Linked DNA regions of Lonchura striata. The protein of the gene in region 2 interacts with the protein of the main gene of each other region in a pairwise test. Links are inferred from orthologs where the notes say so. Each region holds a gene or a part of one and is shown on either strand. Other genes may lie near its edges.

Region 1 (3,742 bases), on a different chromosome or scaffold from region 2:
TTTGCTGTAGTTTTCAGGGCGCTCTACCAGCGCCTGGTGGCAGAGTGACCTTCCCCGCACTCCGTGCGGCGAACAGGAACAGAGCTCCGGGGTCTCTCGGCTGCCGAAGCTCCCGGCCGAGCATCCCAAAGTTTGTTTCAGTCTCTCTCTCTCCAGAGCTCGGAGGAATCCTCCATGTTGCGCAGCGCGGGCCGGCTGGGCCGAGCAGCACCTCAGCCCGGGGCTCGCCTCTCGCGGCTCCGCGCTCGATGCGGTCCTGCCGCAGCCATCGCCCCGCGGAGCCGGGAGCGCAGCCGGGCCGAGCGCGGGGAGCGCCCCGGTCCCGGTCCCTGCCCCTGGCCGGCAGCATCCTTCGGGGGGGTGGGGGGCGTGAATTATTTAGATTTTCTATTTCCTTCTTAGAGGGGGAGGAGGGAGAGAGAATGAACGAGCTATTAACCGCAGCCGAGCCCCGCTTCCCGAGGCTGTCTAACGTTTGTAAATACTTATGCTGCGGCTGGTCCCCTCCTCCCCGGTTAAGTTGTTTAGTATGTTGGTTATTTGTACCGAATCCCGGTCTGTGTAGTGTCTGATGTGTTGTCGTTGCAATGTGCAGCCAGGGTGACACTGATGGATGCGCCAATGGTGAGACGGACAGATGTTAGGGCGGATCTAGCGGCACGCACCGCCGCGGCGGCGAGCCCGCCCGCCCGCCCCGCCGGGGCTGCCCGCCGCCCGGCCCCGTCCTGCCGCACGGCTCACCCACGCTCGCACACTCACACACACAGGGCTTTTTGGGGAGGGGGGGCAACGTCTCGGTGTCGTCTCTTAAGCAGATCTGATCGCTCCTTCTGTGAGCAGATACTGTAACTGTGAGGAGCAACCAGCGAGTATCAATGAGATGGAACTGAGCGAGTTTGGCAGCAGAAGCGGCAATTGACAACTCACCATTTTCTTGTTTTCAAGAAATGTTTCGTTTTCCCCCAACAGTAGCAATTTCCCGGGGACTTTAGGCGACTGCGATTTTTTTTCATCCTAAAGATCAGCTTAAAAAAAAATCAACTCATAACAATAATAATCCAAAAAAAAAAAAAAAAATCCCAAACCTTCTCCACCCGTCATGTAAAGTGTTTGAATTTCCTGCAACTTGAAAGGGAAGCGAGAGCCCGAGAGCGGCACGGCGGCTTTATAGGATGTGAAGACGCAACAACATCTGCACTTAGTCAGGTATTTGGAATTATCCCAAATCTCGAAGAATGGGGGCGAGTGGAAATTTTTTTTGATCTTACCGTAAAAGTGAGCTCAGCCTTTTTTTTTTTTTTTTTTTTTTAATTCCTCCCCGTGAACTTTAAAAAAAAAAAAAGCTACTGTTCTTTCTTTCTTTCTTTCATTTTCTCTCTCTCTTTTTTTTTTTTTTTTTGTTGGCGGTTGCTCCCGTGTCTCCCTTGCCTGCTGGCGGTCCCGGCGCGGGCGGAGCGGGGGCGGGAGCGGCCCGGGCCCCGCGCGCCCCCCGCCGCCCCGGCCCTCCCCGCGCCGCGCGGCCCCGCCGCCCAGGGATGCGCAATCAAACCCGCAGCACATCGATCCGCCGGCGCTCGCCGAACTGAGCGCGGCGGCTCGGCAGTGAACTTGGACCGAGAAAAAAAATTAAAAAAAAAAAAAATCCAAAACTGAGAGAGAGAGAGAGAGAGAGAGAGGAAAAAAAAAAAAAAATCCACCGCCAAAACAGGGAAAACGAGGCAAAAGTGCTCCTTCCCGAAGAGCCGGGTGCGTGGGGCGCGGGCGCTGCCCGCTCCCCGCCGCTCTGGCCCCGCGGGGCGGGAGCAGCGGCTCCGCTGGCGGGGGCGCCGCCGATAGCGGCCGCCGGCCGGGGCGGCCCCGACACCGCCCGCCCGCAGGCGCGGAGCGGAGCGCGGCGGCCGCGGCGCCAGCCAGGTGGGAGCCGGCGGGCTGGATGTGCCGGCGGGCGGGCGGCGCGCCGGTGAGTGCGGCCGGGGCGGGCAGCGCTGCGGGGCGCGGCGGGGAGCCGGGGCCGCTGCCGCCGCTGTCACCGCGCGGGGCGGCCGGGATGGAGCGGCGGGCCGGGCCCTCCTCGCCGGGGGGGCGGGGAAGGGGGGATCCCGTGCCCCGGCGCGGCGGGAGGCGATGGCTGCGGGGGGCTCCGGCGGGGAACGGGTGCGCGCGGGGGCGGAAAGGGAAGGGCTGCGGCGGGGAGCGGGGCAGCGGCGCGGAGCCCGGCGGGCTGCCCTGCCTGTCCCTGCCCGGCCAGCCCTCCGCCGCCGCCGCGGGCGGCTCGGGAGACCGGCGCCAGCGGCGGGCGAAGTTGGGTGGTGGAGGGGGCGCGGCGAGGGGGTCTCCCCGGCCGGCGGGGCAGACCCCTGCCCGCCCCCGTGCTCGGTCCGGCGGGCGATGCGCGCTGAGTGAAGGCGCGGCCCGGGGCGGGCGGCGGCGGCGGTGCCCCGCTCCCCCTCGGCGGAGCAGTTTGAGTGACACCGCGATCATCTCGTTTCCCTTCAAGCTTCGCCTGTTGCCGCCGCCGCCGCCGCCGCCGCTCCAGCGCCGAGCCGGGAGTGGAGAGCGCAGGCTGAGGCTCCGCCGGCTCCGGCAAAGAGATTCCCTGTCTTTATGCCGTGATCTCCCAGCCCGGCCAGGCACCGGGGGCGCAGGGCGGGGTGGGGGGGACTGCGGGCTCTCCCCAGCCCTCCCGCCCGCACACCTCTTCGGGGGGCTTCCCCTCCTCCTTCCTCCGGGGCGATTTGTCAAACTTCCCCCCTCTTCTGCCAGCAGCAGCAGCAGCAGCAGCAGGGCTGTCCTCTCCTCTGTGCCGCCTCCTCCTCCTCCGCCGCCGCCGCCTCCTCCTCCTACTCGGCATCGTGTATGCACAGCAACAAAAAATATATCCCCGACCCAGCCCTCGCGCCGAGGCTGGAGCAGCTCACCGGATCTCTGGGGCTGAGGCAACTCTTCCCACCCCCGCGCCCCGGCTGCCCCCCCCCGCCGGCGCCCGCAGCAGCCCAGCATGCCGAGGAGGAAGCAGCAAGCGCCCCGGCGCGCAGCAGGTACGAGAGCCGCTTCCCTTCCTTCCCTGCCTTCCCTTCCCTTCCCTTTCCTCCGCGGCCGCTGCCTTCTCCTCTCGCCTCCCTCGGTCTCTTTCATAACCGGCTCCCGGCGGGCTCCGCCGCCGCTCCGCGCCCCGCTCCTGCCCCGCTGCCCGCCGCTGCCGGGGCTCTGCCGAGCAGCTCCCGGGCTGGAGGCGCAGCGCCGGGGCTGGGGGTGTGGGGGGGATTTTGTTTATTTTTTTCTTTGGGGTGGGGGGCGCATGAAAGCCCGTTCCCCACTTTTGGTGCCCACTTTGATTTATTCCGAACTCAGCCCGGCTCGGTTCTGGGGGTAACCCTGTGCGAGGGGCAGGCGGGTGTGTGCGGGCACGCACTGCCCGGGCCGGGCTCGTATGGTCGGTGTCACTCCGGGGCTGGGGGAAGCAGGAGGCGAATTTTGGCTATTTTCAGCCCGTACTTTGGCACCTACTTTGCTTGTTTCTCTCGTAGTCTTCATTCTTCTACATCCCCTTCCCTCACACGTGAAACCCAGGGAAAATATTATTTTTATTTAAGTCTTCTTTCCTATAAAAAAAAGAGAGAGAGGATATGTACAAAAATATGGCACGCTGTGAATGAAGTGGCAGGGACAAAGTGATTTGGAGGCTCTGCAGTGTTAGTTGAAGATCCAAGCCCAGAAGTGGTTCCTTTGCCCAACTTTTACC
Region 2 (3,742 bases):
GGACAACTGAGCTGGTTCAAGGGCTTTATTAGAGTGGAAAAGGAATGTACTGTTTCCCAGGCTGATTGAGAAGCACGGGATATATATATATATAATGCAGGACGCTTGATGATTATACAACAAAAAGATGGGATCACCACCTGCCCACATTCTTGTGATAAGCAGATGAAGAACGTCTGTCCGAACGCTAATTCCCAAATCTACGGGGGTAACACGGAGCACAAACACAGACGCGCCGAGCGCGCTCTCGTTCTCTCGCAGCCGGCCGAACGCCCGGCCGCGATCACCCGCGCTCACACCGACCGGGGGACGCGGCAGCCCCTCGGCCTGCGGGATGTCAAACCCCCGCTGCCCTTCATCCGCCGGCCTGCCGCGCCGCTCCGGCCGCGCCGCGGGGCCGGGCCGGGCCGGGCGCGCCGGGGGCCGGCGGCGGTGCCGGCGCTGCCGCGGGGCCGGGCCGGGCCGCTGAGCGCGGGTGGCCGAACAAAGGCGGCGGCGGCCGCTGCTGCTGCCGCCCTCCCCGCCCCTCCGCCCAGCGCAACAGGCGCCGCGCCCCGCGGAGCCCCTTCCCCGCCCCCGGAGCCCCGCCGAGCCCCTGCCCTGCCCCGCACGGTCCCGCTGCCGCTCCCCACCCCCGGCGCCTCCCCCGCCCCTTCCTCGCTGCGTCTGTTTGTACTTTGGCTGATCCACTAATCCCCCGAGAGAGCCTATTTGTAGTGAAGAGTATCTATAGGGGGCGAGGCTGGTCCATGTGGGTTTGTGTCATTGGTTTGTAAGGAGAGACCCCGCCTATTGCCAAAAAAAAAAAAAAAAAAAAAAAAAAAAAAAAAAAAAAAAGAGAGAGAAAAAGAAGAAGGGAGCGAAAAAAAAAAAAAAAACAAAAAAAAAACGAGGCAGTGAGAGGAGAGCCTCTACCTCTCCTCGCTCTCCGTTCACCCAGCGTGGCGAGGGGGAGCGGCTGCTCCGCCCAACGCCGCCCGGGCACTTTCTGGCTTAAAAAAAACCCCACAAAACACAAAAAAAAAACCAACCAAAAAAAAAAAAAAAAACCCAAACAAAAAAGGGGAAAAAAAAGCAGGAAAAAAAAGAGGAAGAAGGAAGGGGGGGGGGGAAGAGCGGCCCTCCCCCCCAAGTTGCAATTAGCATCCTCTCCACTGCTGCTGCGGGGCTCCGGTGCCCCCGTCCGCTCCCGGCGCGGCGGCGGGCGGAGCAGGAGAGCGGGGAAAAGGGGGGGTGGGGGGGAAGGATTAAGTTTTTTTTTTTTTTTTTTGTGCGGTGTGCGAGCGGGTGGCGTTTTTAAGGTGGATCTCCGGCAAGCAGAGCCCGGCGGTGGATGCGGGAAGGGATGCGGCGGTGAAGAGCGGCGCGGGGCTGGCGGCGGCCGGGAGCAGGTAAGGGAGCGGCGGCGGCTGCGCTTCCCGGCGAGAAGGACAAGGGAAAAGCGAGGACATCTTTGCTTTAGTCAACCTCACCGGCGAGGGGGACAGAGGAGAAGGAAAAAAAAAAAAAAAAAAACCGAGGAGGGGAGGGTAGGTGGAAATGTGATGGTGGAGGGAGGCGGCCGCGCAAGTTACGCGGGTGGGCGCGGAGCGGCGGGTGAAGTGGGAAATCTTTTGTTGTGCCGGGCCCCGCATTGTTTACTTAGTGCCGAGAGCCGCCGACAACATCTGCCGGGGGATTAACGGGGCGGCGGCGGCAGGAAAGTTTGGGCAAGGGGGGAACCCCGCGGTGCGGCGCGGCCGATGCTCCGGGGGACGCGGAGCAGCCGCCGTCTTGCGCTGCGCTTATAATTTATTTTTTTTTCTGGGGGGGGGGTGGAATAGTGTATTTAGTTATTGCCTTTTTTCTTTTTTAATCGTAATTTTAGGTAGATTACGGGGGGGGAATGGTTTCGGGTTTTTTTTAAATTTTAATTTTTTTAAAAATTATTTTATTACTGCTGAATAACCGCGCTCGCCGCTCAGTCACTTAGCAACTCTCCACGCTCCCAAGCCGCGGAGGTGCGCGGTGTCCGCGGGGCCGCGCCTCGCTCCTTCCCTCCCACCTCGTACCCCTCCGCCAGAACTCAGAATAATTTCCCCACTATTTATTCATTACGTGTATTCCCCCCCACCCCCCGATTTGACCATTTTAAACCCTACCCTGATATCACCAGAATGGAAAATCAGAGGGGGTGCGTGGATTTAGGCGCTGAGATTGTTCTTTTCACACCACTCCGCCCCACGATTAAAAAAAAACCCAACATTTCCCCCCCAAACTTGCAGGACTTGCTGAGGGGGAAAGAATAGCCTTTTGTCCTGCCGAGGGACGTGCCCCCAAGGTAAATCCTGGCTGGAGCTCAGCGCCTGGTACTTTGCCGGGTCCCAGGGCTCTGGCTGTGCTGGGGAGGAGGAAAGTAGGAGATGGAGATCTCAAAGTAGTAGAAGTAATTTCTTCTTTCAGCTGCACTCCTGCGCTGCCTTTGAATTGCCTGCAATGAATGTACGTAGCTCTAATTGAAGTACTTTAATCATTCACACTTGATTAAGTATACCGTGACCAGAGGAGAGGAATCCACGCGGCGCCCGGGAACGGGAGGGATGGGATGACATTTTAATCCTGTGTTTTAGAAAACATGAGTGGGGCAGGAAAAGAAGCGGTGACGGTTCTGTGTAACGGTCCCTTGTTTCCATACAGATGGTGCCTTTCCTTCGGGATGAAATCGCAGTTATTGCCGGTATTTGGGGAGGGGGGAGGAAGAAAAGGCACGTACTTCTAGGTTTGTTTAAGCAGAGTGAGGAAAATAATGATAGACGAGATGCCTGGTGACAAAATGCTTTTGTTCCTGTTTCCATCAGTGCGTAAGGGCGCCGACCTGCTTTAGCATTCTTTAAAGGTCTGTCTTTACCAAGGAAAATTGAAGATGGTCTCATTATAGGAGAGTGTGTTTGGAATACTATGAGGTATTTATGAATTCAGAGGTGATTGTTGGATCTCAGACATTTCAATTACGCATCCTCTAGTAAAAAAAAAAAAAAAAAATTATTTGTAGCGATGTGTTCTGTAATCTGTTACTTCCATAAAGCTGATTTGTGCTCGAGCTCCGTAGCTGGCTGAGGGAATGGGTCCGTCCACGGGGCTCGAATCTTAAACAAGGATTTCTGTTCTTTGCCTCACAAAACTTTCTGCTGCAGGGGCAGCCTGAAGTTCCCATAAAAGCGATTCTTTGGGAAACGTCAGCTATCGTCAGTATTTTCTGGAAAATCTGGCGTTGTGAATGCAGGGTGGTATTTTTAGAAAGGAGCTTTTTATTTTTGGAGGCGTTTGTGAAACCCACCTGTTAGCCATTAGGGGGGACAGAGGTTGGCTTTCATCGTTAGCAAACCCTGCGCATCTGGGGGCTGAGGGCTGTTCCTCACTTGATCCAAGCTCTCTCCAGTCATGGGCAATCAAAATATCTTTCCTTTTCAAAGTTACAACCAAGTGTTTCTGAAGCTGAACAGAAAATAAGGTGGTTCAGTCAGAGTGGTGGCACTCTCCTGTGTTCAGGAATACGGATTGCAGGAGCGTTTCACTCTTCCTTTCTCTCCTAGAATTTCAGAGTGAGATGCTTCCCTGGTCCAGGGTTGTATGGCCAATTTTATAGTGTACAAATCATAGATGATGTTTTCTTGCTGTCAGCTTTCTATCTTTTTAAGGTAGTTTTCCAGCCCATGTGGATCTGGGGGTTTGGCTGGCAGGGTGGCTCCAGAGCTCGATGCCC

Evidence for each region.
Region 1: the proteins of CTBP2 (region 2) and TSHZ3 interact in binary tests that used the Homo sapiens proteins (3 or more experiments, as listed by UniProt). The two-hybrid records come from large-scale screens. The link is inferred for Lonchura striata from reciprocal best matches to the Homo sapiens genes CTBP2 and TSHZ3.

The regions. Positions count from the first base shown.
Region 1 is NC_134615.1:8,374,950-8,378,691, forward strand, and holds the start of TSHZ3 (teashirt homolog 3), read left to right. Parts: upstream 1-1,066; 5' UTR 1,067-1,206; intron 1,207-2,599; exon of another isoform or gene 2,600-2,766; 5' UTR 2,767-2,998; coding exon 2,999-3,038; intron 3,039-3,742. UniProt on the Homo sapiens protein: Transcriptional regulator involved in developmental processes. Functions in association with APBB1, SET and HDAC factors as a transcriptional repressor, that inhibits the expression of CASP4.
Region 2 is NC_134609.1:29,531,037-29,534,778, reverse strand, and holds the start of CTBP2 (C-terminal-binding protein 2), read left to right. Parts: upstream 1-1,270; 5' UTR 1,271-1,391; intron 1,392-3,742. UniProt on the Homo sapiens protein: Corepressor targeting diverse transcription regulators. Functions in brown adipose tissue (BAT) differentiation. Isoform 2 probably acts as a scaffold for specialized synapses.